Danio rerio: one gene and its partners. The protein of the gene in region 2 binds, or shares a complex with, the protein of the main gene of each other region. Links are inferred from orthologs where the notes say so. Each region holds a gene or a part of one and is shown on either strand. Other genes may lie near its edges. The genes, in order: pdgfrb, ptpn11b and gab1.

Evidence for each region.
Region 1: the proteins of ptpn11b (region 2) and pdgfrb are in contact, whole or in part, in a crystal structure (PDB 1AYA), measured with the Mus musculus proteins. The link is inferred for Danio rerio from reciprocal best matches to the Homo sapiens genes PTPN11 and PDGFRB. Residues at the interface, in NP_001103462.1 of Mus musculus: Gly13, Val14, Glu17, Arg32, Pro33, Ser34, Lys35, Ser36, Thr42, Thr52, His53, Ile54, Lys55, Leu65, Gly68, Gln87, Leu88, Lys89, Glu90, Lys91, Gly93, Ile96; in NP_032835.2 of Mus musculus: Ser1005, Val1006, Leu1007, Tyr1008, Thr1009, Ala1010, Val1011, Gln1012, Pro1013.
Region 3: the proteins of ptpn11b (region 2) and gab1 are in contact, whole or in part, in a crystal structure (PDB 4QSY), measured with the Homo sapiens proteins. The link is inferred for Danio rerio from reciprocal best matches to the Homo sapiens genes PTPN11 and GAB1. Residues at the interface, in NP_002825.3 of Homo sapiens: Gly13, Val14, Glu17, Arg32, Pro33, Ser34, Lys35, Ser36, Thr42, Arg47, Thr52, His53, Ile54, Lys55, Leu65, Gly67, Gly68, Tyr81, Gln87, Leu88, Lys89, Glu90, Lys91, Ile96; in NP_002030.2 of Homo sapiens: Lys623, Val625, Glu626, Tyr627, Leu628, Asp629, Leu630, Asp631, Leu632, Asp633.

What each region holds. Positions count from the first base shown.
Region 1 is NC_133189.1:3,753,314-3,764,950, forward strand, and holds the start of pdgfrb (platelet-derived growth factor receptor beta), read right to left. Parts: upstream 7,782-11,637; 5' UTR 7,698-7,781; intron 1-7,697. UniProt on the Homo sapiens protein: Tyrosine-protein kinase that acts as a cell-surface receptor for homodimeric PDGFB and PDGFD and for heterodimers formed by PDGFA and PDGFB, and plays an essential role in the regulation of embryonic development, cell proliferation, survival, differentiation, chemotaxis and migration.
Region 2 is NC_133198.1:26,918,668-26,929,661, reverse strand, and holds part of ptpn11b (tyrosine-protein phosphatase non-receptor type 11b), read right to left. Parts: intron 8,600-10,994; coding exon 8,503-8,599; intron 8,388-8,502; coding exon 8,308-8,387; intron 8,170-8,307; coding exon 8,014-8,169; intron 6,608-8,013; coding exon 6,476-6,607; intron 5,791-6,475; coding exon 5,636-5,790; intron 2,029-5,635; coding exon 1,961-2,028; intron 1,875-1,960; coding exon 1,723-1,874; intron 935-1,722; coding exon 834-934; intron 1-833. UniProt on the Homo sapiens protein: Acts downstream of various receptor and cytoplasmic protein tyrosine kinases to participate in the signal transduction from the cell surface to the nucleus. Positively regulates MAPK signal transduction pathway. Dephosphorylates GAB1, ARHGAP35 and EGFR.
Region 3 is NC_133176.1:38,713,550-38,724,543, forward strand, and holds part of gab1 (GRB2-associated-binding protein 1), read left to right. Parts: intron 1-926; coding exon 927-1,152; intron 1,153-3,625; coding exon of another isoform or gene 3,626-3,715; intron 3,716-6,432; coding exon 6,433-7,076; intron 7,077-10,176; coding exon 10,177-10,271; intron 10,272-10,881; coding exon 10,882-10,994. UniProt on the Homo sapiens protein: Adapter protein that plays a role in intracellular signaling cascades triggered by activated receptor-type kinases. Plays a role in FGFR1 signaling. Probably involved in signaling by the epidermal growth factor receptor (EGFR) and the insulin receptor (INSR).

The DNA of each region.
Region 1 (11,637 bases), on a different chromosome or scaffold from region 2:
CACTCTCATATTCACATTAACATACTACGAAAAAATGTAGTTTATTCAATTCACCCAGAGGAAACCCACACCAACACAGGGAGAGCATGCAAACTCCACACAGACCATCAACATTTTTTTAAAACATACTGTATGATACCATGTTTTTACCATGGCAAAAGTTGATCCAATCCACAAGCTAATTAATTAGTGCCTTTACTAACTTTAAGTATATAAATAAATGTAAAAAATATGAAAATGAGTATTAGTAGTTTATGTTTTTAATTTCACTTAAACAATCCTGTCAATTTTAAAGAGTACAAATATACAGAGCCAAATAAATATTGATAAACCAAGAAATAAATCGCAAACCAATAAATAACATTAAAAACAAACTAAATAAAATTTTTTATAAAAATTTTGTAAAAATAGACTAAAACAAATTGATTTTTAGATTTTTAAACAATTCACACAGAATTTACAAATACAAATAAATGACTGCAAAATCAATAAAAACATAAATAAATAAATGCATTTTTAGATGTAATAAAATAAATCTCTTGTATTTTTTTATAAACTTTTATATTATATTATATTATATTATATTATATTATATTATATTATGTTATATTATATTATATTATATTATATTATATTATATTATATTCATTTTCTTTTCGGCTTAGTCCCTTTATTAATCTGGGATCACCAAAACAGAATGAACCGCCAAATTATCCAGCACATGTTTTACGCAGCAGATACGCTTCCAGCTGCAACCCATTTCTGGGAAACATCCATACACACTCATTCACACACATACACTATACAGACAATTTAGAGTACCCAATTCACCTGTACCGCATGTCTTTGTACTGTGGGGGAAAGCGGAGCATCCGGAGGAAACCCACGTGAACGCAGGGAGAACATGCAAACTCCACACAGAACTGCCAACTGCCCCAGCCGAGACTCGAACCAGTGACCTTCTTTCTGTGAGGCGACAGCACTAAATACTGTGCCACTGCGATCAAATGAATGACAAAAAAAAATTTTTACTGCATGATTGTTTTAAATTTAAGACTTTGGGCTGGATGTCATATTTCTTAAGTTGTTGATAAAAATGTAAAAACCATCTACTACAAAGACAATCTGTGCAGTAAAAACATAAATAAGGGTTCTCCCTTAAAGTTGAAGTCTATATGAATTGCCCTCATTTTTGTCCTTTTTCAAATATTTATATTTCGGCTGGAATAAAAGCAGTTTTTTTATGTGTTTAAAAACATTTTAAGCTCAATATTATTATCCCCTTTAAGCTATTTTGTTTTCGATTGTCTACAGAACAAACCACTGTTATACATTGACTTGCCTAATTACCCTAGTTAAGGCTTTAAATTTCACTATAAGCTGAATACTGGTATACTGAAAAATGTCTAATCAAATATTATGTGCGGTCATCATGACAAAGATAAAATAACTCAGTTATTAGAAATGAGTTATTAAAACTATTATGATTAGAAATGTGTTGAAGAAATCATCTTTCCATTTTACAGAAATTGAGGAAAAAATATTCAGGGGGTCAAATAATTCAGACCTCAATTGTATTTATAGTTAATTTAAAAAAAAATTAAATCAAATCCAAAGATCACAAACAGTTAATGATAAACTTCATTGTGATTATTATTTTTGAGTAATAAACAAGGTATTGTATTGCACATGAACGATTTTGCATTTATATTTTCACCCGAGATGGGTTGCAGCTGGAAGGGCATCTGCTGAGTAAAACATGCAGGATATGTTGGCGGTTCATTCCACTGTGGCGACCCCAGATTAATAATAGGACTAAGTCGAAAAGAAAATGAATGAATGAATTTCCATCAGCCATATGTAGAAGTCAGAGTTGGCTGTGCTTCACCGGCACAGACATTAATCTGAAGCGCAGGACTATTATTGTAAATATTTCTCTGGGTCTGGTCTGTAGATCAAACAGATGTTCAACAGCTGATGCTGCTACACCGAAACAAAAAATGATTCATTGGATTTACCAAAGCTGGCTTAGTGGTTAGCACTGTCGTCTCACAGCAAGAAGGTTGTTGATTCGAGTCTCGGATGGACCAGTTGGCATTTCTGTGTGGAGTTTGCATGTTCTCTCCATGGGTTTCCTCCGGGTGCTCCGGTTTCCCCCACAGTCCAAACACATGCGCTATAGGAGAATTGAATATACTAAATAGTCCGTAGTGTGTGTGTGTGTGTGTGTGTGTGTGTGTGTGTGTGTGTGTGTGTGTGTGAATAAGTGTGTATGGATGTTTCCCAGTATTGGGTTGCAGCCAGAAAGGTGTTCTTTGTAAAACATATGCTAGTTGGTGGTTCATTCCGCTGTGGCGACCCCTGATGAATAAAGGGACCAAGTTGAAGGAAAATGAATGAACGAATTTAACAAAAGATTTTAAGGTAAGTGGTTGCAAACTATTTATATGGGCTGAATTTAAACAAACAGTGTTGAACATTACTAAATTTAACTTGTTTGTTTGATTTCAGCCCGTATAAATCATTTGCAACCACTCACCCTAAAACAGTTGAGTAAATCCAATGAATCATGTTTTTCAGTGTAACGCTGTGGTGCAGAACCTTCATGGCACGGCGTCCTCTAAAAGTCCCGTTACTCATGTGCTTCATTGTTGTGCGTGTGGTGAGGAGTTTCTGTGCTGTTCTTCAGGAACGCTCTGTTATTAGTCAGGCGTGTGAGTAAGACGTGAGTGTGTGCTGGATCTGTGATAGAGGGACGGACCGAGCACTGCGTCACCAGCTGTTTCCTGAGCCCCTCATCTGGTTCGCATACCAGTCCCGGGAAAAATCTGCTCCCCATTAGCAGCGGATGAGCGGAGCTCGCGAACAGGGTCCGGCTGAGACCCCTGAGAGCCCACGGGAATCACCAAACACACAGCGTTTGGTTTCTTAAAGCTGTCTTGAGCTTTTCAATTAACTTCTTCATTGATTATATACAGTTGAAGTCAGAATTATTAGCCCCCCTGCTTTTTTCCCCCAAAAATTTCTGTTTACCAGAGAGATTTTGTTTCATGACATTTCTAATCATAATAGTTTTAATAACTCATTTCTAATAACTATTATTTTATCTTTGCCATGATGACAGCACATAATATTAGACTAGATATTTTTCAAAATACTAGTATTCAGCTTAAAGTGAAATTTAAAGTCTTAAGTAGGGTAATTAGGGTAATTAGGCAAGCCATTGTATAACAGTGGTTTGTTCTGTAGACAATCATAAACAGTATTGTTTAAGCTGACTAATAATATTGACCTTAAAATAGATTTTAAAAATATATAATAAAATCATGAATATAAACAACCAGATTCTGGAATTCTCTCAGCCTTTAAATGCTGCGTTTTACGACACAAACACACACACAACTACTAGAGAAAAGCCAGCGAGAGTTTCAATGACAGCAGAAGAGCTCAAACAAAATCACTCTGTATCTCTATAAAAATATTGCGCATTTCTGAATGTCCCTCGCACTGGTGAGTGGGGTTGACAAACCATCTGTCGAAACACTCTTTTCTCCAATTCCACCACTTAAACTTTACCTTACAAGCACTCAGTGAGGTTTACCAGTAAATTTACTACAAATCCTGTTGCACTGCTTACTTATTCAACCTTAAAATATCTCCTCTGCACAATATTATTCTGTTTTGCATAAATTGCTTGTATAGTTAGTCTTATTTATAAATAAGTATTTATAGTATATGTATAGTTAGATTACCAGTCTGGTATGTTAGTTATTTAGATTTAATAGATTATATAGATTCTGGAATTCTTTAAATGCTGTGTTTTACGACACAAACACAACTACTAGAGAAAAGGCAGCGAGAGTTTCAATGACAGCAGAAGAGCTCAAACAAACCACCACAACAGCACGTTACAATGCCTCACAAGAAAACACACATCTGTAAAGCCTCTGCAGTGTTGACGAGAGTGTTAAAGGTGTTCAAACACTGACTGTAAGGCGCAGATCTGTTTGCTCTCGGCACATTCTCGGTCAAATGCAACACATTTAACACACAAATAAACAGCAGAGATCAATGCTTCACCAACAAAAGCTGAACAAAAAATGCTTCAAATTCTTTAAGATGGGATAAATCTTTCTTTAAAAAAAACTAAACATCGCAGGCAACATCTGGATGAAATACACATTACACAGCCAAACTGAATACACCCCTATTAAAGTTTACATTTAATCGATTTCTCATTAAATATAGACCATAAATGTACATACAATCACTCTGTATCTCTATAAAAACATTGCGCATTTCTGAATGTCCCTCACACTGGTGAGTGGGTTCGACAAACCACCTGTGGAAACACTCTTTTATCCAATTCCACCACTTAAACTCTATCCTACAAGCACTCAATAAGGTTTACATGTGAATTTACCGCAAATCATGTCGCACTGCTTACTTTTTCAACCTTAAACTATCCCTTCTGCACAATATTATTCTGTTTTGCATTAAGTGCTTGTATAGTTTGTCTTAGATTACGTGTATAGTTAAGTATCTAAAGTATATGTATATTTTGTATAGTTAGATTACCAGTCTGGTATGTTAGTTATTTAGATTTAATGGATTATATAGATTCTGGAATTCTTTAAATGTTGTGTTTTTATGACACAAACACAACTACTAGAGAAAAGGCAGCGAGAGTTTCAATGAGAACAGAAGAGCTCAAACAAACCACCACAACAGCACGTTACAATGCCTCACAAGAAAACACACATCTGTAAAGCCTCTCCAGTGTTGACGAGAGTGTTAAAGGTGTTCAAACACTGACTGTAAGGCGCAGATCTGTTTGCTCTCGGCACATTCTCGATCAAATGCAACACGTTTAACACACAAATAAACAGCAGAGATCAATGCTTCACCAACAAAAGCTGAACAAAAAATGCTTCAAATTCTTTAAGATGGGATAAATCTTTGTTTAAAAAAATCTAAACATCGCAGGCAACATCTGGATGAAATAAACAGTACACAGCCAAACTGAATACACCCCTAATAAAGTTTACATTTGATCGATTTCTCATTAAATATAGACAATAAATGTACATACAATCACTCTGTATCTCTATAAAAACATTGCGCATTTCTGAATGTCCCTCACACTGGTGAGTGGGTTCGACAAACCACCTGTGGAAACACTCTTTTATCCAATTCCACCACTTAAACTCTATCCTACAAGCACTCAATAAGGTTTACATGTGAATTTACCGCAAATCATGTCGCACTGCTTACTTTTTCAACCTTAAACTATCCCTTCTGCACAATATTATTCTGTTTTGCATTAAGTGCTTGTACAGTTTGTCTTAGATTACGTGTATAGTTAAGTATCTAAAGTATATGTATAGATTGTACAGTTAGATTACCAGTCTGGTTTGTTAGTTATTTAGATTTTATAGATTATATAGATTCTGGAATTCTTTAAATGTTGTGTTTTACGACACAAACACAACTACTAAAGAAAAGGCAGCGAGAGTTTCAATGAGAACAGAAGAGCTCAAACAAACCACCACAACAGCACGTTACAATGCCTCACAAGAAAACACACATCTGTAAAGCCTCTGCAGTGAAGACGAGGGTGTGTAAAGGTGTTCAAACTGACTGTAAGGCGCAGATCTGTTTGCTCTCGGCACATTCTCGGTCAAATGCAACACGTTTAACACACAAATAAACAGAAGAGATCGATGCTAAACAAACAAAAGCTGAACAAAAAAATGCTTCAAATTCTTTAAGACAGGATAAATCTTTCTTTAAAAAAATCTAAACATCTGAGCCAACATCTGGATGAAACACACATTACACAGCCAAAATGAATACACCCCTATTAAAAATTGTATACCCTCCATTACTCAGTGAATTTAGACAATAAATGTACATTCAATCACTCTGTATCTCTATAAAAAACATTGTGCATTTCTCAGTGTCACAACAAACAAACTACCTGTAGAAACACTATTTTCTCCATTATCACCACATAAACTATCTTACAAGAACTCAATAAGGTTTACCTGTGAATTTACCACAGTCATGTCAAACTGCTTACTTTTTCAACCTTAAAATATCTCTTTTGCACAATATTTTTTCTGTTTTACATAAGATACTTGTATAGTTTGTATAGTATTTATACAAAAAAAGTGTTGCATGCAGAACTGTTGCAAATAATTTATTTGTGCTGAATTTAAACAAATTAAGTTTAATAATGTTCAACTAAATTTGTTTGTTTAAATTCAGCCCAAATAAATTGTTTACAACCACTTAACGTAAAACATTTGAGTAAATCCAAAGAGTCATCTTTGAATAAAGTTTTTCATTGTATATATATTCCCAGAGATGGGTTGCGGCTGGAAGGGCATCCGCTGTGTAAAAACTTGCTGGATAAGTTGGCGGTTCACTCTGCTGTGGCGACCCCGGATTAATAAAGGGACTAAGTTTATATATAAACAGATGAAGTCAGAATTATTAGCCCCCTTTAATTTTTTTCTTTTGTAAATATTTCCCAAATGAAGTTTAACAGAGCAAGGAAATTTACACAGTATGTCTGATAATATTTTTTCTTCCGGAGAAAGTCCTATTTGTTTTATTTCGGCTAGAATAAGAGAAGTTTAAAATTTTTTATGAACCATTTTAAGGTCAAAATTATTAGCCTCTTTAAGCTATTTTTCCCTATAGTCTACAGAACAAACCATCATTATACAATAACTTGCCTAATTACCCTAGTTAACCTTATTAATCTAGTTAAGCCTTTAAATGTCACTTTAAGCTGTATAGAAGTGTCTTAAAAAAACACACATACTGTACTACTCTAAAGCATCCTACAGACCAGGGGTGTCCACACTCAGTCCTAAAGGGCCAATGTCCTGGACAGTTTAGCTCCAACCCTAATCAAACACACCCGAACCAGCTAACCAAGCTCTTACTAGGTATACTAGGCAAGGCAAGGCAAGTTTATTTATATAGCACATTTCATACACAATGGCAATTCAAAGTGCTTTACATAAACAAGAATAAAAGAAACAAGTAAAATAAAAATAAAAACAAATAATAAAAATGCGTAAAAACAAAACAAAGCATAAAAACAGGTAAAATGTGATATGAAAGAATTAAGTCTCTTCTGCACAATATTGCACAATATTATTGCACAACTAGAAACTTTCAGGCAGGTTTGTTGAAGCAAGTTGGAGCTAAAGTCAGCAGGACAAGCTCAACTTTGGACACCCCTGCTATAGACCATTTCAATGTGGTCATGTCATTGGTCCATGAACATTTAATAACTGTAACAAGAGGCAATTCCATCATAACATAATGTTAAAACAGCTATCATAACATTAGTTACCAATATGTGGCTCTTTTTGGACTCTCGGAAGCTGAATTAAAAATGTACAAAAGGAAATACGTTGGGACCACTGTGTTTGTTTACACCCATGAAAATGGTCTATATACAGTTAAAAGATAGATGTGTGAGGGGTGAGCTCAAATATGCTGAACACTGTACAAACACCCAAAGAGTTACGACAAGTTCAATCTAACTCCTCTAAATTTCACATCATTGCTTTCACTGTTTAAACCTGGAACTCGTTCACTGAGAAAATAAACTAAAAACATCATGGAGTAAAACTCTCGGTTCAAAAACTGTAGGAGAGTAAAGTCCCATCTCTTACCTTGACGTTTGGATTTAAAGCATGTCTAGGAAAAGCCTCTTCTTGCTAACTTCTCTCCTCGTCTGCGTCTCTGTACGTGTGAGCAACAGTGTCCAATTCTCTGGCGTTTAGTAGTGGTCTCTCGTACAGCTGCGAGAGGGAGGGATGGAGCTAAAGCTGCAGTCTCCGGGGTCCCAGACGGAGAGGAGGCTGGCCAGCAGATCTGTTTGTTTAGTCAAATGACCACAGCAGGGTTCACTCACTGGCTAGTAAACCCAACATCCCTGCCTGCAAAGGTATAGCACAGACTAAAGCTTAAAGGGATAGTTCACCAAAACAATTTACTCACTATTTACTCTCCCTCATTTGATTTTCTGTATTGTGTTGAAGACTAAAGAAGATACTTTGAAGAATGCTAAAAACCGGTAACCATTGACTTTTACAGTTGAAAAAAACAAATACTATGGAAGTCAATGGTTACAGGTTTGCAACATTTTTCAAACTATCTTCTTTTGTGTTTAGCAGAAGAAACTTATAGGGAAAAAAAAGCTTTGGAAGTCAATGGTTACAGGTTTGCAACATTTTTCAAACTATCGTCTTTTGTTTTGAGCAGAAGAAACTTATAGGAAAACAAAATGCTTTGGAAGTCAATGGTTACAGGCTTCCAACATTTTTCAAACTATCTTCTTTAGTGTTTAGCAGGAGAAACTTATAGGAAAACAAAATGCTTTGGAAGTCAATGGTTACAGGTTTGCAACATTTTTCAAACTATCCTCTTTTGTTTATAGCAGGTTGGAAATGAGTAAAAGTTTGAAATGAGTAAAGTTTCACTAGTTAGTTCACAAAAATAAACATTTACTCATTATTTTCTAATCCTCAAATGATTATAAACTTTTATGATTTTCTCTCTTTTGTTGAAGAATGCTGAAAACCGGTAACAAATGACTTCCATTGTTGAAAAAAATAGTATGGAAGTTAATAGTTACAGGTTTCCAACATTTTTTAAACTATCTTCTTTTGTGTTTATAGCAGGTTTGGAATGAGTAAAAGTTTTCATTAGTTAGTTCACCAAAAAATGAACATTTACTCATTATTTTCTTACCCTCGAGTGGCTATAAAGCTTTATAAGTTTCTTTTGAACACAAAAGAAGATATTTTGAAGAATGTTAAAACTCACTCACTAGTAAAAACAACATCCCTACCCTCGAAAGTATATCACAGACTAAACTTTTAAGGATAGGTCACCCCAAAATGAAGAAAACCTCACTATTTACTCAGCCTCAGGTGGATTTTTGATTTTCTTTAGTGTGTTGCAAGTAGATATTTTTAGCAATGATGATAACCGGTAACCATTGACTTCTACTGTAGAAAAACCAAATACTTTTGAAGCCAATGGTCACAGGTTTGCAACATTTTTTCAAAATATCTTCTTTTGTGTTTAGCAGAAGAAACTTATAGGAAAACAAAATGCAGTGGAAGTCAATGGTTACAGGTTTGCAACATTTTTCAAACTATCCTCTTTTGTTAATAGCAGGTTTGAAATGAGTAAAGATTTGAAATGAGTAAAGTTTCACTAGTTAGTTCACAAAAATGAACATTTACTCATTATTTTCTCACCCTCAAATGATTATAAACTTTCATAATTTTCTTCCTTTTGTAGAAGAATGCTGAAAACCGGTTACCATTGACATCCATAGTTGGAAAACCAATTACTGTGAAAGCCAATAGTTACAGGTTTCCAACATTTTTCAAAATATCTTCTTTTGTGTTTATTGCAGGTTTGAAATGTGTAAAGGTTTGAAAAGAGATAAGCTTCACTAGTTAGCTCACCCAGAAATGAACATTTACTCACTATTTTCTCACCCTCAAGTGGTTAAAAAGCTTTTTAAGTTTCTTTCTTCTGTTGAACACCAAGGAAGATATTTTGAAAAATGCTGAAAACTCACTCACTAGTAACACCAACATCCGTAACTGCAAAAGTATAGCACAGGCTAAACCTTAAAGGGATAGTTCACCCTAAAATGAAAATGTACTCCCCATTTACTCATCCATTACTCAAGTGAATTTTAGATTTTTCTTTGTGTTGAATAGTGAAGTAGATATTTTGAAGAATGATCAAAACCAGTAACCGTTGACCTCTAAAGTAGGAAAAAAACAAGTACTATGAAAGTCAAATTGACATCATAAGACTTTTCATTTTAGTATGCTGATGTATTAAAAACTGAAACTGAATATTGAGTAGGGGGCGGGGCTTTCTTTTGCACAACATTCCCTCACAGCAAACTAACGGTAAGAGAGGTGGGGCTAAAAATATTATGGCTTAAGCGTCAAACTGACATCATTAGACTTATTTGAGTGTGTTGATGCGTGTCAAACTGAAACTGAATATTGAGTAGGGGGCGGTGCTTTCTTTTGTGCAACACTCCTTCATAGCAAGCTAATTGTAAGAGGGGCATGGCTAAGAATATTGTGGCTTAAGCATCAGACTGACATCATCACTTTACATTTCAGTATGTTGATGTATTTCAAACTGAAACTGAATATTGAGTGGGGGGGATGAGCTTTCTCTTGCACATCATTTCCTCATAGCAAACTATTTGTAAGAGGGGCGTGGCTAAGAATATTGTGCATCAAGCATCAAACTGCTATCATCAGACTTATTTTAGGAGTTTGATGTATTTCAAACTGAAACTGTATATTGAGTATGGGGCGGGGCTTTCTTTTGAACAACATTCCATCACAGCAAACTAACGGTAAGATGGGCGTGGCTGAGAATATTGTGGCTTAAGCGTCAAACTGACATCATCAGACTTTACATTTCAGTATGTTGATTTGTTCAAACTAAAACAGAATATTGAGTAGGGGGCGGAGCTTGTTTTTTGTCCACTATTCCCTCATAGCAAACTAATGGTGAGAGGGGCGTGGCTAAGAATATTGTGGGTTAAGCATCAAACTGACATCATCAGACTTTTCATTTCAGTATGTTGATGTATTTCAAACTAAAACTAAATATTGAGTAGGGGGCGGAGCTTTGTTTTTGTGCATCATTCCCTCACAGCAAACTAACAGTAAGATGGGCGTGGCTAAGAATATTGTGGCTTAAGCGTCAAACTGACATCATCAGACTTTACATTTCAGTATGATGATGCGTTTCAAACTAAAACAGAATATTGAGCAGGGGGCGGAGCTTTGTTTTTGTGCATGATTCCCTCATAGCAAACTAACGGTAAGATGGGCGTGGCTAAGAATTTTGTGGCTTAAGCGTCAAACTGACATCATCAGACCTTTCATTTCAGTATGTTGATGTATTTCAAACTAAAACTAAATATTGAGTAGGGGGCGGAGCTTTGTTTTTGTGCACTATTCCCTCATAGCAAACTTATGGTAAGATGGGCGTGGCTAAGAATATTGTGGCTTTAGCATCAAACTGACATCATCAGACTTTTCATTTCAGTATGTTGTTGCGTTTCAAACTAAAACTGAATATTGAGTAGGGGCGGAGCTTTGTTTTTGTACACTATTCCCTCATAGCAAACTAATGGTAAGATGGGGTGGCTAATAATATTGTGGCTTTAGCATCAAACTGACATCATCAGACTTTTCATTTCAGTATGTTGTTGCGTTTCAAACTAAAACTGAATATTGAGTAGGGGGCGGAGCTTTGTTTTTGTGCACTATTCCCTCATAGCAAACTAATGGTGAGAGGGGCGTGGCTAAGAATATTGTGGCTTTAGCGTCAAACTGACATCATCAGACTTTTCATTTCAATATGTTGTTGCGTTTCAAACTAAAACTGAATATTGAGTAGGGGGCGGAGCTTTGTTTTTGTGCACCATTCCCTCAAAGCAAACTAACAGTAAGAGGGGTGTGGCTAGGAATATTGTGACTGAACCACCAAACTGACATCATCAGTGAAGGACCACCCCTCCAAACGCAGAAGCAAATGCTCAGAATTTGATGA
Region 2 (10,994 bases):
TCCGCGTCTATTGTAAAGTGAATTTGATGTGCGAATGAAGCGGATTTGATGTGCGAATGAAGCAGATTTGATGTGCGAATGAAGCAGATTTGATGTGCGAATGAAGCAGATTTGATGTGCGAATGAAGCAGATTTGATGCGCAAATGAAGTGAGTAAACTTAAAAAGTTTACGTGTCTATTTACGGGCGAATGGTGCAATTTATTCACACATTCTGCCTGTGGTGTAAACAGCAAAAGGAGTAGAATTGAGATTGGGCTTTAGTACAGCTAAGTTCACTTAGGTCTGTCTATGCTAGTGAGGCAGAGATCATCACTAATGGGTGGGACTTTCCCCTTTCTGATGACTCATGCAAAGGGAGAATGTCCTTCAAAGTGTTTCTGCAAAAATTTTAATTAATACATTTTTACCATTAAAGGCTGAATATATTCATGCACTTTTCACACACAACTGTGTTTCAACCCCTTTTAAAAGTGAGTTTTGCATAAGTCATTTGTGATAGGTAAGATTTTTTAATACACTTTTGAATAAAGCCCATGGAGGCTGCATTAATTTTATGAAAAATAAAGCAAAAACAACAAGAATGTGAACACACTTATCAAACTTGATGTACTAAAGTTTGTGTTTATTGTTCTTCAACGACTGACTCACAGTAGCATCAGAAGCCTTTTGTCGGAAAATGATTCACTTAGCAACAAATACCTTTAGAATTGAGGAAGTGTGGGAGACGGTTTACCTATAGAAGCTCATTAACTGTCTTCCAGTAACAATACTGTGTGGGCTATGTTTCTAAGTGTGTGTGTTCTGTGTGAATGACAGGAAACGAGCACTTACACAGATGAAGAGCGAGACGAGCTCATGTTAGGCTTGGCTCTGGCATTTGACATCTGTGGGTACTTGATGTTAGAGTATTCCCTCTCCTTCGTTTTGTTCCTCTGAAAATGTCAAGAACAAAATCATGAAGCTAAAAATTCATTTGATAAAAATAAGGCTTGTCAAATAGCATTCCATTGTAGTAAATATGTTAATGCATTCAGTTTTAGCCATAAAAAAATGAATATGGGAAAAATATTGTACTATAAGATCGATGCTGCCTAATACATAAGGCAAAAATAAAATGTAGGCAATATCTCAAACTGCACATAAAAATATAAGAATGGTTGTGTTTGTGTCTGGTTTGGGGGAAATTTGATAGATCTGAAACAACATTCCTGAGGCATGTTTAGAAACATCATTCCATTTTGACAAAAAAACTTTTAATAATAGTTATTAGGGCTTGACATTAACACCAGTCAGCCTGCCAAATGTGGGTAGATTTCAGCTGTGGCAGGATAGACAGTTACCTCAACTAATGTTAACATTCATTCATCTATTCATTCGTTTATACATTTATTCATTTTCCTTCTGCTTAGTCTCTATTTCAGAGGTCTCCACACAAGAATGAACCGCCAGCGCCAACTATTCCAGCATATTTTTTATGCAGCGGATGGGCTTCCAGCTGCAACCCAAGACTGGGAAACTAATGTTAACAAAGATGAATAAATACTGCAATAAATGTATTGTTCATTGTTTGACCATTTTAGCAAATGCATTATCTAACACTAGCTAATACATCCTTATTGTAAAGTGTTTCTGTTTGACTTTGACTGTACTGTAGCATGTAATTTATATATATATGTATCTCCATCACATTATTTTGATTGAAAATGTAGTGTTCAAGCACCTGCTCCTCTTCTAGTCTCTTCTGAGCAGTATCAATGTATTGCTGAACAGCCATGTAGATGAACTTGTACTGGGCTTCAGTCTGAACCATACCGGACCGCTGCTGTCGCACTCTCTGAATCGTTTTTGGGATGTCAATGTCACAGTCCAGCCCTTAGAGAAGCAGTTCAGCTGTGTTAAATGTAATCAATGACAGACAAAAAAGACACCACTGGGATAATTCTGTATGAAATGCTTACCTTGTCTATTTATGATGTCGATAAGAATGTCAATCACGATAATTGTGCCTGTTCTTCCAATCCCTGCACTAGAATGACAGCAACAGTGGGACATTTACATTGTGGAGCACAGCTTTTAAATTCAGTACACCCCTCTTTGAAAATTTATATTTTTGTCCATTTCTTAGTGAATAAAGCTAATAATTTTGTTGCATTTAAACAAAACAGTTTAATTATACAGTTATACCTGTTAAAAAATGGGGGGGGGGGGGTCACCTTACATCTTCACGAATAGAAAGATAATACATTTAAATTCAAATAAAATAATAATAATAATAAAATAAAAAGAATTTACAAATTAGAAAACAAAAACTACATTACATATATTTTTAAGTTTCTCTTGATTTTTCCTTTTTAAATAAAAATTTGCTTAACATTTTCCCCAACATATTAATTTGGGTGTACTAATTTTTGGACTGTGACCTTCCTTTTTTAGATTAGTTCCATTTTTTTTACTTTTGTACTAACTAGTCTAATGTTTTTGCACATATAATATATTATTGAATATGAGATTATTAACTATATGAGTATAAAGTATCAATATCAAGTATCACTGATATTAGTATAAAGTATATGAAATTAAAAGAGAGATTTGTGCGGGACGTACTCATTTATGCACAGAACTGTACACATTATAAGGATTTCAGTACTGTAATTCTTTATCGTAGTTTTTCTTTTAACCCTTCATAGGGCACTCATTGAAAAACTCTTCAGAAAAAACATGATAAGTTACTTTGGTTTGGGAAATTACTTTTGTGACTTAAAACAAAATTATGATTATATTCCAATCAATGTCAGTGAAGTTACCTGGTTTCATGATTAATAAAGGGTTAAAGGAAAACTTCAGTCCATTTTTTTCACCTTGGTGTTTTACTAATGTCTAATGTTACACTTTTTTTTCACAATGCAAAATGAGTGTTTTTTCTTTAATGTATTTTGATTTGGCTCATCCACTGTACATAACGAGAGTGTATAGAAACCAACATCAAGCTTTTATGATTCCATGCAAGGTGAAGTTTCTAAGTGTTCTGGAAACATACAATGAGTTTAGGTGAAAAACAACCCAACATTTACTTTATTATCTAATTCTAATCGTTGCTGCTGGTCTTCTACGGGACTGCTCTCATAAGACACCACTGAATATGCTAGTGTTAGCTCAAGCAGAGTTGTTTCAGAAGCATTTTCACTATATATTTTCTCTAATATAAATTCATAAAGTCTTGGTTAAAATTTAATAATTCATGAAACAGTCTTAAATTTAAAGAAAAAAATTATGCATATTTATATTTTTATGTAAATTAATTGGGATATGAATGCAATTGTTACTGCCGTTACGATAAGGCACTAGAAAGTGAAAAGACTTTAGCAGAAATACCAGCCTGATCTCACGAGGAAACTTAATTATCTTACGTTTTGTCAGGTTAGTGGCTAATTCGTACAAATTTGTACGAGTTCAGTCGTACGAAAATTTACTATTTTAAAAAAGAAGGCGTGGCACCCAACCCCACCCCTAACCCCAACCGTCATTGGGTGATGAGCAAATCGTAGTAAATTGTACGCATTAGATCGTACAAATTTATACCAATTAGCCACTAAATTAAAAAGTTACGAATTTCCGTGAGATTGCATTAGAAATACCCAGATATAAGTCATTAATGGCATAGGCTGTAAAAGGTTAATGAGGAGCCAAACAGTCATTCATTTATATTTGTTTTTGCACCAAGCACTATAATTTACCCTAGAACACTTGGAATATTCCGCACTAGGGTTGACCAGCAGTCCTGCATTTCTGGCAGTCCAAAATTATATATTTTTTGTGACCTATTTTTTCTTTCCTTAAAAACACCACAGTAAAATGACCACATTTATCTTGGTTTTTATATATAGTGTGTCATATGTAAGTTACAGTAGACAAAATATCCAACCATAATATTTATAGAGAGATTTTTTTTCCTCACTGATGATAACTGTGTGGACAAAGCAAAGCAACAAGTGTAAATTAAATAAAATAAATACATTTAGCTCAGTTTTTAAATACATATGTGTAACTGTCATGTGTAGGTTACAGGAGAAAAAATATCCAACCATAATATTCATAGAGAGATTTTTTCCTCACTGATGATGACTGCATGGACAAACCAAAGCAACCAGTGTGAATTAAAAGTAAGCAGCAGCAACTGCCAACCAAACGTCCTGTTCAAAGCTTCCTGAACGAACATGAAATACAAGTTCAATATGCACTAAATCCAGTTTGTCTAGCCTAACAAAGAAACTGTCACTGCATATATGATCTGTTATAGTCACTTCATTATATTTTACCACATTGTATAACTCCAAGCAGAGCAGGTTCAGTACCTGTTGAAAGCGACATCTAATGTCATTGTAAAACAGGCTTGAATAGTTCAATTCATTTAAATCAATATTTATGTAATCTAATATTAGTGAATGTATATCTCTTGTGACCTGCATTGTCCTGGAAAATTCCCACAGCAGATCAGTAACCAGGTGATTACCCTATACGGCATGTTACGTGATAGCAGCTAAGACACAAAGGTTTCACAGAATAATGTGTATAGCAGAAAAATATCCAACCATCTGATGATACAGATGATGAAACTGCTAGGATGATGAAACAGAGTGTGCACACTTTTGTGAGGTGCAGCGGCACTAGAGGCTGCTTTTATGGTTGGCAGATTGGCAGGACTGTTTAGGATTGTTGCTTAAATATAACTGTGAAAGTATTCTGCAGAAGAAAGTCCATTTAAATTTTCTTTTATTCATTAAATTCTAAGTTTGTGGTTCACTTTCCTCTGGAGTTATTGCCATTTGCATGCATTTGAACTGGATGGCACACGGCAGTCACATGAGATTTATTTTTCTGATAAAATTATTATTATAGAGATATATTCAAAGAAGAAACCATGTATAATCCATACAGTGATGTACCTGTACAACATTTATTTTACAAATGGGCGATGGCAAGTTTTGACTTATGATATTGGGATATTTTTGATTGGCCATCAGGCTAGTTTTGGGGTATTTTGGATGGGCATTGGGTTTTATTGCAAAAACCTGGCAACCCTGATACCCACCTTCCTAGTATGTGCTATTACTAATGTGGCTATTGCGCCGGCTAGACCGACCACAAAGGTGAACATATAGTGCAGCAGACAGCTGAAAATAAATACCAATGACGGAAGTGACAGAGTGAATAAGAATCTAAAGATTTTTTTTTTGTATTTTTTGGTTTTCAGTCATTGATAGTGTTTTAAAATCAAATGTTTGAAGCATAATTTAGATTTAATTACATCAGAAAAAACATCTATTCTAGTGTTTATTTGAGTATGACCTTTAAATAAACTAATGGGTTTTTAAAATAGCTACATTTTTAAGGCAAATGAATGAATGGAGTTTTCAGAAAATGAATAAATGAATGAATGGACTTTTCATTAGAATTCTCTTTTTGTGTTTGGCAAAAGAAACTAATAGCATAAATAGCATATAGCATTTGAAGGACATCACAGGGAATAAGTATTGGATTTTTTTATGGGGGAAGGGGGGAGAACTGTGCCTTTAAGACCACATTTAGCAAAATAATTAAATAAATCTAAGTAGAACGTGTGAGCTGTGTAGTACCTGCAGTGAACCACTATGGGTCCGCTCTCTGGAATGGCGCTCTGGGTTCGGTTCACTTGCTCCAGGAAGCTCAACACTCCTCCAGGTTCATTTGGAACACCGTGATCAGGCCAACTCAGGTACTGATAGTGCCAGATACACCTGGGAGGCTCTCTCTGTAATTACAAAAAGTATTTATGTATGCATGTATGTATGTATGTATGTATGTATGTATGTATGTATGTATGTATGTATGTATGTATATATGTATGTATATATGTATGTATGTATTTATTTATTTATTTATTTATGCCATATCAGCAGTATGTCTATGTCAACATTGGAATTGAATATTAAGTTTATAATTTACAATCATAACTGTTTCTAAACAAACATGCATTATATAAAAACATATAGATATCACACTGATTAAAAGTCATGAGAGTTCTTTCATTTTGACCAATGATAAATAGGGTAAAATAGAAAAAGGAGACATCTTTTTAAAAGTTTCCCTTAAAAAAACGTTCTCTAATATAACTTGAAAATATACAGTACCTTCTATTAAAACATGTTTTATGGTCTAAATATTCGTACACAGGTCACAAATAGGTTTCTCTTCCCCTTTCAATGAATATGAATGAGTAAGTCCTGAGTGAATTACAAAAAAAAAAAAAAAAGAAACATCAAATGATAATTTACAAAATGAGAAAAACTACATCCAACCTAGATTAGTAATGTAAAGTAATACAGGTTTGAAGTAAGTGAGAAGATTCTCTCCAAGCTGCTACTGTAAACAACAAGGTCAAAGGTTATGAACTGCCTCTGGCTGCAGCATGTCATCTGTCATCGCATTGCTCTTACCCTGTCTAGACGTGTGACTTCAAGCTCTCGCCGTATGTAGTCCTGAGCTGTGTGTTCCTCAATGTTCTTCACACACACCTTCCCAAACTCCTTTGTTGAATTCAAGTCTGGCCAGTACCGCACACATTTATTCTATAGGGAGAAGTTCAATGTTTAGTTCCCAAAAAAAAATCTGTGTTGTCTATTTAGCTATACAACATTAGTGGATTCTCAATTTTCTCAAATTATGCATTAGAAATTTTTGGTATATAAGAAGAATCACATTTTTGTTCAAAATAATAATCATGTTTCATCCACGATTCTGAATTGACAAATTAAAGGAAAAGTTAAAAAGTTCCCAAATAGATCCCAAAATTTTAATTTTGCCATTATTTAGTCATCCTCCATTTTTCTGATGAACACAAGAGAATCTATAATAAAAAATGTTGGAAAACACAACAATTGACTTTCATAGTGTTTTTTGTTCCTACTATAGATGTCAATGGTTGCTTTTTTGCAAAATTCTTCATAATATCTTGCTTTGTGTTTAACAGAAAAAAAGAAATTCATTAAAGTTCATAATCAATTAAGTACGAGTAAATAAGGAGGAAACTTAATTTTTTTGGTGGACTTCAACAAAATGACATGTAATATACTAGAGATTTGGACACAATGTTAATTTAATTAATTCCCATCGGTTTGAAAGGTTGATTTAATCACTGGCTTATATAGACCTCACTTGTTTCATTACTGGATGAATCAGCCCTTTTGAATGACTCTCTTGAATAAATAAGTCAATGACAAATGCATTTTTAATAGTAACTTATCACCACCTTTTGGCGTAACACTGTAATTGATAAACATTATTTATAAAATAGTGTTACTTTAAAAAATATGAATGTCTATTTTGCTGTGCAATATTCAATAGTGGTTACATCAAAACTTTAATCCCAATACTTCTGCAATAATTTGACTAATAATCATACCATAAGGTTGAAGAGACCAAAGACTGACGCTGTTTCATAATTTTATGCCAACTGGGATTGCACTCGTCAGATGTTTAATAAATAAAACCAAATCATTGTGGCTGGAATATATAATTGTATGGGTAATTGAATCAAGATTGTCATCATTTAGCAGTTTTATGGTCAGTGTATTTAAAACTGATATGAATTCTGAATGAATTTCTCCCCCCAAAAATATAAATTACTTTTATTATCACAAATAATTAAGGAAATATAATTAAGAGCATAAAAAATATTTTTTTTTATAACAAATTGTTTATTTTCTTATATTCTATGTATCCCATGACAAACAATATAACATAATATGACAAAAAATAAAATAAAATAATATAATATAATATAATATAATATAATATAATATAATATAAAATAATATAATATAATATAATATAATATAATATAATATAATATAATATAATATAATATAATATAATATAATATAAATATAAATGTATTAATGAACGATCGAATGAATGAATGAATGAATGAATGAATGAATGAATGAATGTACAATATTTTCATCCTGGACCTTACCCGTCCTCTCTCCATCTCCTTGGTTGTCATGACAATAACATGTGTATTTTCCTGATAAACCATTTTCCAGAAGTCCAGGACTGTGTTCTGAAGGCAGCCCTGAGTAGCGATGAACACTTTACCTTCATCCATATGACGTCCTTCTTCATTCACGCTCTAAATGAAAAAAGAACAAAATCAATAAGGATAAAAAGAACATGCAATCTCTAAACTTATTGATCACAGCTCAACAACCCAGCAAAAGCTTGACATTCAGATTGACGTGTAATCATTACGAGCGAAGCGGGGTCTTACTCGGATATAGTTAGCGTTGATGTAATCGGATCCGGGAACATCAGGATCCGCTTCCTTGATCTGCACTCGAGTGGTGTCAACTGCAACCCAGAAAATGATGATCAAAGCATGAACAAGAGCCCTGGAGATTAACCGTTGCATTATGAAACATGCCTCTCCCATTAAGAAACCAGAAAAATACAGCACGTTACTCACATGGTAGTATATTCTTATATCTGTTCTTGTTTTTATTTTCTGGTCTCTGCCCCTCTTTCCTGGGGTAAAGGAGTTTACATTCTTGTTGCTGTAAAACCTGCAGAACCACAGGAGACAAAATAAAAGACAGTCAGGATGAAATGTGGATCCATGTTTAGATTTAATGTTTAGTTATAAAATGTCTGTTAATTAACAGATTCTGTATTTTGCAATTCACAAGCGTTCTCTGCTTATTTGCGACTATGAATTTGCATTATGGGACCTTTATCTTTCGCCCGTGAACCTTTGATATTAAAAATTCAACTGTGCAGTTCATCAAATTGACTTTTATTGACATTTTAGCAGTTTGAAACAATATATTGTATAATAAATAATACATAGAGATCTAGCAACTTTTTAACATAAAATGCTGTTGGAGGAAAGATCAAGGTCCCATAATGCAATTCAAAAGCATAAATAAATGAAAAGATGACAGTGTTTGATGGATAATAACTGTTTCATCCAATAAATGTGTGTGATATAATTAGGTTTAAACCAGCTCTGCAAAAGTTGCAAAAGAAGTAAAATGTAAATAAAATATATTTTAAATCATGCAACTCATATATGATGGTGGTGCTCTTTTCTCATTTAAACAATTTGTGGACACATTTTCTTTTCTAGTCCCCCTAACTAAAAAGTATTTATTTTTTTTAGTGAAATGCCTGACTTTATTATACCTGGCCCTAAAGCTCCTTTAGATTTTTCATATTGACAACACAAACTTTTTTTGTCGACCAAAATCTTCTCAATTCCAAGTCAAACAAAGACATCCGGTATCTCATATCTTTTTACTTGTGTAATTAAAAAAAAAATCATCATTTGTGACACACTGTAGAATGGGAAAAGTTTTGGTTTCTTCCACATAAATTCTTCTCATCTTATAAAGTTGGTGAAGTCTCTTTTAAAATTATTCAGAATTGCTAAATGGTAAATTACAAACTTGCTATTTAATAATAGTATTTTCCACAAAAGTTCTTTTTTTATCTTCAGTCGAAGATTCAGTCGAAACATTAAGTAATTCATTTTGCAAGTGCATGTATTGCAAAGTTTTGGCTTGACTTTTCAATTTATTCATTCTTCATTCATTCATTCATTCATTCATTCATTCATTCATTCATTCATTCATTCATTCATTCATTCATTTTCTTTTTGGCTTAGTCCCTTTATTAATCTGCAGTTGCCACAGCGGAATGAACGGCCAACTTATCCAGTATATGTTTTACACAGTGGATGCCCTTCCAGCTGAAACCCATTACTGGGAAACCCATACACTTTTTTGCACACATACATACACATTAGCATACACATTAGCCATACAGAAATGCCAACTGACCCGGCTGAGGCTGACCCGGCCGAGGCTGAACCAGCGACCTTCTTGATGTGAGGCGACAGCACTACCTACTGCACCACTTGACTTTTCAATTTTGTTGACAAATACTTATATCCAGACTTACATACAGCCCCCAAATTATTACTTTTTGGTTACTCTTTGTATCTAGACCCTTCTTACTATAATTGTATAGCTTTTTGCATCCATTAAATGCAACGTTTCAAACACAATCCTTTACTTTTTATTTTCAGGAAAGACTTTGATATGCATGTCAACTCTTTTAAGAAAGTCTAATTATTTTATTGCTTGTTGTAAGTCTTATATCTTACAGGTAAATTAGGTAGGCTAAATTGTCCATAGTGTATGAATGTGTGTGTGTATGATGGCTGGAAGGGCATCCGCTGCATAAAAATGTGCTGGATAAGTTGGCAGTTCATTCCGCTGTGGCGACCCCAGATTAATAAAGGGACTAAGCCGACAAGAAAATGAATGAATGAATAAATGATGCGATTTCAGTTATGTAACCCTCCTTATCTGTGTGTTCCTAACTTTGCAAAAGTTTTTTCTTTGCTTAATGATAAAAAGAAGACCATAATAATAATAATAATAATAATAATAATAATAATAATAATAATAATAATAATACACAGTAGTCTGCTTGTAAAGCTTTATTATTGTGATAATATTGTGAATACATATTCACGTTATACCTATATTTTACATCTTTTGATTAAGTTATACATTAAAACCAGAAATTATTCATGCAACATATAAATATTTTTATATTTATTTTTACTAGTGGGTGCATGTAACTATAGTTAAATTAACATTTACAATTGAGGTTCCTAAAATAAAGTAAACTGTGACATATTATACCCCAAAACTGTTCATAAGGTGGACTAAAAACCAACATGAACTTACGAAACTGCTGCAGAAAATAATGAAGTTGAGATTTGCATGAAGCTGACTGAAAGCAGAGACTACAGGCTGGCATTGTGTCAAAATGTGGAAAAAACACTTGATAATTGTGCAAATATTGTCAGACTACAAATGCATTATCCTGAATAATTTTTGTTGATTGGTAAAAATAACATTATGTAATGGTTATCTTAGCCAAAGTTAA
Region 3 (10,994 bases), on a different chromosome or scaffold from region 2:
GACTCGACTGTACACTGAGAGAAAATGAAGGTAAAACTAATCTGAATGCAGTACTTTAAATGTCTATTAGGTGGCGGGTCAAAACAACATGTGGCTAGATACGACTGCACATCAATGAAAGACATTCAAAAATATATTTATTTTTGCGGTTCGAATTTCGGTACATTTTTGACATCAGTTGCGGGCCGGAGGGTGGGGCCGTAAATGTCCCGCAGGCCGGCAGTTTGAGACCCACTTTCTGTTGTATGTAATTCTTGGAACAAAAAATAATTCTGTTGCATATGTCAAAGAGAATCTGAGGAGGTAAATGGAACAAAAAACTGCTTTAAATAAGAAGTGAAACTAAAATAAACACATTTAAAAAGAAACAAATACCAATGATATTGTATGCGGAACTTAGGTTGAAGTAAACTTTGTATGTATAATATGCAACGATGAGTTCTATATGGACCTCTTAAAACAAACCTACATAGAGAGCTGAATATTTGTAAAAATATTCTATAAGCACTCCAGAAAACAGTGTGATTAAGCAACAAATTATTATTATTAATGAATAAGACGTTATTTTTTAATTACTTATATAATTTTTTTTTTCGAACCAAATAAAATTATTTGATATTTGATTTTTTTTGTGTACTTTTTTGTGCGTGCAGTACATTTCACAGCCACACCTTGTATTTTCACAATTTAATTTTCACAATTTATAGTTCTTTTTTTCCAAGTGCTCTTAGCTTACCAGAAGTCATCCTTTAAAGACACTTTCACAATAGTAATTTGTTTTACACAGGAACGGTTTCAGTAAAAGCTTTTGAATAAGCAGTGTAGCCCTTAGTTTGATCTAATCTTAAATGTGTCTCGAAGCTCGTGATCTCATAAAGTGTGAAGCTTTTATGTTAACCTCTCTAACCCCACTGTTCTTTCTACAGACTCTGCAAAGGTCTCTCATCATGTTAATGTGCCAGGCGGTCTGGTCGTGGATATGGCCCCTAGTGGAGGGCTGGGCGGAGCTTTAGGGGCGTCTGCATTAGCCAACCTGCCTCCTCCCTACCAGCCCGTTAGCATCAGACAGCTGGGATCATCCTCCAGTCTAGATGAGCCTCAGGACTACCTTTGGCTGCTCAACTGTGAGAGCAAAAAACCTGAGCCTAACAGGTAAATCCCAAGCTATGTCTCCATACACTTATTTTTGTGCACATTTTGGATTATTGCATTAACAAATGCTTGATTAAAATGCCAAGATGCATATAAACTTTGATGATGCGCATAAAAAAATAATACGATAAGCTATGAAAACAAATTCGATAAATAATACGATTAATACAATAAACGTTTAATTCAATAAAAAATGCACATAAACTACGATGGAAACACTTTTACAGAATACATTCATTTTAAAAAAGTGATGTGATTTTGTTTTAAGACTTCATGTGATGATGAGAATGCATGTGATGGGATGCATTAATGGACAACTGAGCATGCTGACAACATTGTAAAACATCTGACATGTTGTTTTGGTCATTCTAGTATGCTGTAACTATTTCAGTATTATTGTTATAGTATTAGTTGCCTCCAGAACTGTCAAGATCGTCGTGTTGGCATTGTCCTCTCAAGCACAAGCGATTTATTCTGTACCTCAGCAAATTCCGTTGTTCTTTTTGATATTTGGCACCAGTTTATCAGGACGTGACTATTTTGTTCTCTTTGACTCATGGGATGGAAGTGCTTCTTTAATCTCAACTCTTTTTATGTAATATTCTAATCTTGCGCATAGTTTTATTTTGCATCTTTGGATGGAAACATAGCTACAGATGTGTATACAGACATCCTTTGGCATAACGGTTCACTTTTCGCAGCCTCGCAGTTTCACCATTTTTTTGTGCAATTCGACATGCTATTTTTCTACATTGTATTGTGTTCTGCGCCCTGATAGTGTTCTGTGCCCTGATTGGCTGTAGAAAGTTTTCAATCAATTTCCTTAATGCTGTGTTTTCTGTACAGTACAGAATGCGTTCAGCTTGCCAAATTTACATACATCTTCGATCGCTAGCAATGTTACTCTAAAGTGCTTTACTGTAAAAGGCAGAGGAAGATGCTAACCATTCCACAAAAAGTAGAACTTCTGGACATGCTAAAGGAAGGTAGAAGTTACACTGCTGTAGGGTGTCATTAGAGAAAATAAATAAATGATCAATCAAATATTTGGTTACATTTTATAACACTGGACTTATTTTTCTACGAAGGTTTGAACTTTGTGAGTGTTTAAACAAGAGCTAAAAGTGTGAAAAGGTTAATGCCTGTCTGAGAAAAGTGTATGAAGTATGTTATGAGAAGTTTTACAGCCTTAAAACATCTATAATAATTGTAAAAATAAAGCAGACTATTTCAAGGATTTTGCCTATTGTGGGTTATTTTTAGAACATAACTCCCTCGAATAAAGAGGGACCCATTTATTGGCTATTTTAAAAGATGGCTCATCCATCAACATCTCACGAGCAAATGTAACTTTTGTGCATATTGTTAAAAAAAATGGTCAACTCGAAAAAGTTCATGCAATTTCGTTCTTATGAATATATATGATTTTTAACAGGAGGCATGGGCACAAAAACCCACCACTACCCCTCTCTGGGAGATGGGAAAATCGTACTAAAATATATGAATGAGATTAAGGCTGCACGATATCGGAAAAAATTGACATTGCGATATTTGTTTTCCCTGCGATATATATTGCGATATTTTAAAAATTCAGAATCGGGAGTTTTGAACTGCTCAAAAATTAAATAATCATTAATTCTATAATAATTTGGGTAATTTTTTAAGCATTTTCATAGAATATAAAAATTAATAAGTAAAAACACTTTCTTTTGGGTTGTTTATAAAAAATATGACTTAACTGTCAATTCAGATAAATCAAGGATCTAATATGTTATGATATTAATACTAAATGTTGCTTTTACTGTGATAAAGGTAAGCTCATTTGGTGAATGTAAAGATGACACTTTATTATCACATTTAGGAATTAACACGAGTGACAAAATAAGTTATTTAACTTTTTAACAATTACAAACTTTTTTATTACAACAATTAAAAAACAGAAGGAAATATCTCGTCACAAAATTGTAAAAATATAAAAACAGCTAAACAATAACCCCCTGAGTGGTTTAAAAAAAAATAAACATGTTATAAAACAATTGTGGATAAGATAAACTTGTTTTAATAATTACCAACAATTAACTTTACAATAAATAAAATAATATGGCAGTTATATATATATATTATTGTTATTATTATTTTTTTTGCTTTGCATCGCTCCTCCTGCAATGTGACTATTGCGGATGCGCACATCGCGATTTTGATGCTGAAGCGATGTATCGTGCAGCCCTAAATGAGATCATACAAATTAGCCACTAAATTAGTTGCCATTGGAATGCATTGTTTTATCCAACAGTTTGTTATATAGGATTGTTCCCTTTTTGAGTCTGTTGTATTTATATCAGTGTATATCAGTATCAGCGTTATGTAATGTAAAAAACCGCCCACCTCTACTGAAAGCTTTGAGTACGTTCAGGTATGATGAGTAAAGATCTGGAAATAAGGGGCTCATTGTGTGTATTTGTGTGTGGTGTAGTCTAGTTGCTCCTCTTTGTCTAGGGGAGGAGGAGCAGGAATACCTGCTTTTGGAGGAGTGTGAGAGCCGGAGCGCTGCTCATGACAGTCAGTGAGTGAAGAGCATCAGTGTGAAAATTCAGTACTAAACCGCACACACATTTGGCCAATAGTCTGACACTGTTGTTTTTACCTGAATGTGTGCATACCTTTTTTCAGTAACTTCCTAAAATAAATACTTTACTTAGTTTTTGTTTTGCATTGTGTATCTAAAACTGTGAATGCACAGTTTTAATTGGGATTTGTGTGAATTGTGACATGCATGGTTGGGTTTGACACTAACCTGGTTGTAACACTTTATAACGATTAGTTAAATGCCCTGAAATACTATCAGCAATGTTATTTTTTTTCCCTGGATGTTCATGAAGAGTTGAAACTAACTTGGTGTACCTTTAAAGTGAATTAAATTATACTGAGTTATTATGTAAATACAGTACATTCGGAAAGTATTCGTAGTGCTTCTCTATTTACACAATTTATTGTGTTACAGCCTTATTCCAAAATAAATTAAATTAATTTATTTCCTCAAAATTCTACATACAATACCCCAAAATGACAATGTGAAAAAAAGATTTTTTGAAATTGTTGCAAATTTAATTAAAATTTAAAGACCTGAAGAATCACATGTACATAAGTATTCACAGTCTTTGCTCAGTACTTTGTTGATGCACCTTTGGCAGCAATTACAGCCTCAAGTCTTTTTGAATATGATGCCACAAGCTTGGCACACCTGTCTTTAGGGATTTTTGCCCATTCCTCTATGCAGTACCTCTCAAGCTCTATCAGGTTGGATGGGAAGCGACAGTGTACTGTACAGCCATTTTCAGATCTCTCCAGAGATGTTCAATTGGATTTAATTTTGCGCTCTGGCTGGGCCACTCAAGGACATTCACAAAGTTGTCATGAAGCCACTCCATTTTTAATTTGGCGGTGTGCTTTGGGTCATTGTCTTGCTGTAAGATGAACCGATTCCCTAGTCTGAGGTCAAGACCACTCAGAAGCAAGTTTTCATTCAGGATGTCTCGGTACATTGCTGCACGCATCTTTCCCTCTATCCTGACTAGTCTTCCAGTACCTGCAGCTGAAAAACATCCCCACAGCATGATGCCACCACCACCATGCTTAACTGCAGGGATGGTATTAGCCTGATGATGAGCGGTGCCTGGTTTTCTCCAAACGTAACACCTGGCATTCACGCCAAAGAGTTCAAATTTAGTCTCCTTACACCAGAGAATTTTGTTTCTTATGGTCTGGGAGTCCTTTAGATGCCTTTTGGCAAATTCCAGGTGGGGAGTGGCTTCCATCTTTTTTCACTTTGTCATTATGGGGTATTGTGTGTAGAATTTTGAGGAAATAAATGAATTTAACCCATTTTGGAATGAGACTGTAACAAAAAAATGTGGAAAAAGCAAAGCGCTATGTATACTTGCCGGATGCACTGTATGTGTCACTCATCTCTCCATAACAAAATAACTGCAAATGACAGTAATAAGAACATTAAAAAAAGCATCTGATCATATTGTTGTGGATTTGTCACTTTAGTCAACTAAAGACACTTTAAGAATATTTATGTAGCACTTTAAACAGAAGATTACTGTAAAGCATGCATCTGGACAGATTTTATCATGACAATGCAGTGTTAATATTGCTTTCATTTAGAATTACACTTCAGTTTCTTCTGTAAAGTGACTGTTCTCTGTATTTTTTTAGATGTATCACTTAACTTGTATGGGCTTAAAAGTAAAGAAATTGGAACAGATTTCCAAATCATAGAAGACAGAGCCCTGGAGCACAATAATAGTTTGAAGATGTTTACCAACTAAAGCTAAATTTATGTTTTTTCTTTTGTTTTTGTTTTTTCAAACCATTTAATTCTTCAGTTTCACCTAAAGTATACTGGACTCCAGAGCCTTAATTGTCGCCATCTGTGGTCAATATTGTGTATTGATTGTTATTTATATTTGACCATCATCCCAGACAGCCAATCTCACAGTGTAGATACTTTATTTCTCTCATGACACACTTGTTTTGTTCTAATGTCATAGCTGTCAATGATTTTCAAATAATCTATTTATTGATTTAATGTGCATTCAGTAGTTTTTCTTTTCTAGCATTAGTATTACTTTGGTATAATAGTAAGGTTTAGTGGCTGCATGAATAAATAAAGGAACGTGAATTACTCAATCTTGGGTATTGACAAGTTTTTAATCTTTCCAGGCTTTGTTTTACTTGGTTTAAGTCCTTTTCTGGATATTATAGGTACTGATTTCCTTTTTTTAAAGTTAATAAGTAATTTTTCACTTTTTGCGACAAAACTACACTGTTACAATTGCATCTACAACAGGAAGTGTGTCAGTTCTCTCTGAGGATTAGAGAAACACATTGTTTCATCAAGGCAATACTTATCATTTCATCATGGCAATTAAAACACATTATAGTTTTAAATTAGTACTAAACAATTGAATGCATCTGTAATGAACAATTATTGCAAAATAAACCACTTCAGCAATCAATTACCACACACTAATGACATACTGAGTGTATATTAACTTTTAAGTGCCAGTTAATTATTAAATAATAAACTTTCTATATTTTTGTATTTAAGACTAATTTGTAATGCAAAAAAGCATGATGACATGACTAGTTTTAGAACATGAACATTACAGTGTATTTTATACAGTTTAATTGCTCTTCATTTGCATTATTAAATACATTTTGCATTGAAAAGTTAACTGACAATCTGCATCTCATACTTTGGTTTCTTTGCAGGGCTCATGGCGACTGCTCCAAGTCTACCTCCTCTGAACCTGACTGTAATGACAACCTTCCTTCCCACTACACACCCACCTCCTCCACCTCCAAAAACGCCCCGGTCAATGGTTTCTTTTCCACCCAACATCCCACTGGGCTCTACGATTCTCCTCCTTTGCGCGGGCAGTCATTGTCGGCCGACTCACAGGGCCTGTACCACCTGCCCCGAAGTTACTCTCAGGACACTGTGCTGCTGCCGAAGTCGGCGACCTCCCCTCCCATTCCTGACGGTGAACCTGGTGAACTCTATGTCTTTAACACACCTGGTCGGAAACCCTCATTAGAGGCCCATTTGCGGAACTTGTCAGTTAGCTATGATATTCCACCTACACCTGGCAGCAATTCCACCTACCAGGTTCCCCGAACAGCAGGAGTGGAGGCTGTTTCAGGGTCCACAGAGGTAATTCCACCACCACGTCCACCAAAGCCTTCAGTGAGTGGGGGATCAGTCCCCCCTGAGCGATCGCCTACAGACACTTATGTGGTACCGCGGTCAGTGTCTGAGACTGATACGAATTACTGTGTTCCGACAAGTGCAGGAGGCAACAAAGCACTCAGAAGCAACACCATTGGTACGGTGGATTCTTCACGTCTGCGTAAAGGTAAGAAAATATTATGTATTTCAGTCATGTGTGCTATTTTAACCTTCATTTTTTTTAAGCATAAGAGCAGTTAGCTTAACGTTTAGTTATTAAGACAGGTAAGTTTCACAATGGGTGTCACACCAAGCCAAAGTCAAAGAATAAAATAAACGTATAAAATTAAGTAATTATTCTCTCTCATGTTGGTCGAATTCTCATTTGACATTTTGTTTATCTTCGAAACACACTTTAAAGGGCACCTATGATGAATATCAACTTTTGTAAGCTTAGACAGAGCTGTGTGCAGGTATAATGTGTCCACAGTCATATTGGGGTGATATAAAGACAATAAGTCTCTTTTTTTTTTTTAAATATTCTGACGTTAAGATAGGATCCAAATCCCTCCCATTTTGAGGCCCACCGCAATGTGATGTAGGAGTACGGTTTTCCCTCCCCACCAAATAGATTGACAGCCGCATATTAACATATCTCCGCTATACGCATATAATTATATTAACAAGACAGGTCTTGCGCAAAGCAACTGGTAAAAGATCTGTTCAGCTCTCTGTGATCATCTGTACCTCAAGAGTGAGTTTTACAAGTTTGAAACGTTTTTAAAACGGTGCATGTTTGTAATAAAGAAAACACAGTAAAATTGCTGTAATTCATCACCACAGCAGCATAGTGTCAGTCTGATTATAAAAGAAGATGCTTCAATCCTATTTTGTGGACTTAACTCAGGTTTATTTTATACATCATATCATTTTATACATTTTTATGGATGTCCATACAGCAGTGCATATTAACGTCTATCCTGTCATATTTGCTGTGCAAAACAGTGCAAAGTTAAACATGTTAGCATGTGTGCATGCTTGCGCCATTGTGTGACTTACTGTTCCAGAAAATCTTTAATTAACTCCACAACAAATGCATCAAATAACCATAAGTCCTTACTGTCATATTTCCCATTCTTGTCTGTCACTGTGCTGTTTATCTGACATGAGTTGCAGCAGGTGAAGGCTACATGCAGAGCTATACAGAAAGATCTCTATGGCTCTGAGGTGCATGCGGGAACGGTGGGCGGGGAGAACTAGCTCATTTGCATTAAATGCACAGGCAACAAAAACAACTACAGTGACCTAAAAGCTCAAATTTTCCAGATTCAGAAAGGTAGAATAAATAAACTGATCTGCAGTTTAATCTAAAACTTTACAGACAGTACAAAAAAAGTACAAAATACTTATTAGATATTCAATCTTGAAAAAAAGGGGTAAAATAGGTGCTCTTTAAGATATTGTTGATGAGCTCCCTCATCCTCTATAGACAGAAATGGTCCAGAGAGAGTCAAAATCCAGTAAAAAAAGGAAACCCAAACATTGTCAACTACATGACATGCAAGCACATATATTACCTATAGTACATTTTTTAAATGAAAAACATCGGCCAACAAAGGTATATTTAGATTTGTTTTGTTTTTTGTGAAACAAAAGTGTTTTTGGAGCTTGGTATGATTACAGTTGAGCCACTAAATGGACATGAAAATATTTTGACTGTTTTTGGTCCTTTTTATGAACTTTGAACATCTTAGTAATGTTGTTGTCTATGCATGAGGAAGCTCTTGAATTAAATAAAAAAAAATCTTTATTTGTGTTATGAAAATGAATAAAGGATTCAGGGCATGAGATGACATGATGGTAAACAATTAAAAACAGAACTCAAATATTTGGCTGAACTACCCCTTAAAGAATTTTGTGCATTGATTGCATCTGGGCAAAATGGCATTCTGTAAACACATTTCAAAGACATGTGTTATGCCCGTACATGTAAGGAATTGATTGTCTTTATCAGCAGGTATTAGTAATCAGTATTCCTCATCTGAAAAGAGAAACCAAAAGGAGAATTGCATAAATGCAAATGGTGAACAAAGCAGCACTTGCTTATGGTTTTTAATATCAATTATGTTGGTCACTCTCTTCATTACAAACACCATGAAATAATGAAAATATTTGCATGTTGGAATGCTCAGGTATGATGACACAACACAAGAACAGCATACTGTCTGTGGAATTTTCATTACTGTCATTTTAATTCTCGTAAACTGAATAGCTAATCTGAGTGATTTGCCTCGCTGATGGCCCTGAGGCTTATTCAGCATGATGAATCGGCAAACTGTTGCAGATGTGAAATCAACTAGAGCAAACATATGGAAAACACTGAAAAAATACAGTTCCCAGCAATGGCCATCAGTTTGTTGTGTCATTACCCCAATAGTTTGAACACAACATTTTTTGTCAAATAAGCTTTATTGAAGACACAGATTGAAAAAGAATAGGATTCTCTGTTTACTTATTTTGTCGAAGAACAAAACATTTGCTGGTTCCAGTTTTAAAACTGGAGGGATTTGCAGATGGCGTCCTTGCAATCTTGGGAAGAATGGTATTCAGTGCTGGTAGTCTGCTGCATGTCAGGTAGTGTCACTTTGATTAAGAAGCAATGACGCACTAAACTGATTGACAGTAAGGACATTTGCAGTGTTACAAAAGTATTATAAGAAGATGTATCACAAAGCCTACAACAACTATTGTTAAGCAAGCTTCTGTTTTCAATATTGATCATACAAAGACTAACCTTAAACATCTGAGTTCAAACAAATTACATTCATTTCTATAGCACTTTATACAAGGGATGGACTGGAAAAAAGGCTGATAAAAGTTATTAATAATAATATTTAATTTTTGTGGGACATATTCAATGCATCAAGCAGGTAGCAGAATGATGTGGTAGAGAGCTGGTGTAGTTCTGTAAAATAAATTAAATGATTCTAAAGAGTTATGAATACTAAGGTCTGCTCTGTATCTATTTTTTTCTGATTGACAATTCTATCATCAAGCTGTTTGTGGTGAAATCCTGTAGTCGCGAGGGGGTCCCTCTAGTGTTGTGTGATGGTATTGTGAGAGTTTGAGAGATTGTTTACATGCACTCCCTTCCTCACATTTCTGAAGGATCATGTGACGTGACATGCTTGGAGTAATCACATCTGAACATTCAATCAGAGCAGTAACAGAGTTAAAAATATAATAACACATTAAATATTATCTTTTTGCATTTCTTTTCTCCACAGATTACGGATCTCAAGATTGCTATGATATACCCCGGCCCTTCCCTTCAGAAAAAAGTTGCTCGTTTGATTTTAATGAAAGTTTCAACAACTATTTTGTAAGTTTTCTATCTTATTAAGCTTTATCTTTATACAGTGCTCTACATAATTGAGTACACCCCATTTTGAAAATGAATACTTGTATCCATTTCTTAGTGAATATAAGCAACATATTTTGGTGCATTTAAACAAAACAGATTTATTAAACAGATGTATTTATTACAATAATATTTCAGTCACCAAACATTTAGAAATTAAAAGATAATACAATTAAATTCAAGCAAAATATTGCAAAAAAAAAAAAAAATTACAACCTACAAAATTTCAACTAATTTTTTTCAATTTTTTCGCTTCTATTGATTTCTCCTCTTTTTCTGAATTTGTATTTAATATTTTTCTATATCATATAAATTTGGGTGAACTTGTTTTTGGACCATTTTGGTAATTTATTTTGTTAGATAAGCTCCAGATTATGCTTCAGTACTGACTAATATAATGTATATGCACAAATATAATATAGCTTCCTATTAAAAATATGAGTTTAAAAGATAGATTTCTGAGGGGTGTACTTGTATATGCTGAGCACTGAATATCCCAGTGCTCATTTTTACCCTTTCTTTCAAGTGTCTCAAATATTTCTAACCTGTGTCTGTTTTTGTATGCATGTAGAAAAATAAAGGCATGGTGCCAGTAGGAGGTGTTTCTACAGAGGAAATGGATGAAAACTATGTTCCCATGAGCGTCCACTCTTTGTCACATCAGCGCTCCGGCAGCCTATCAGA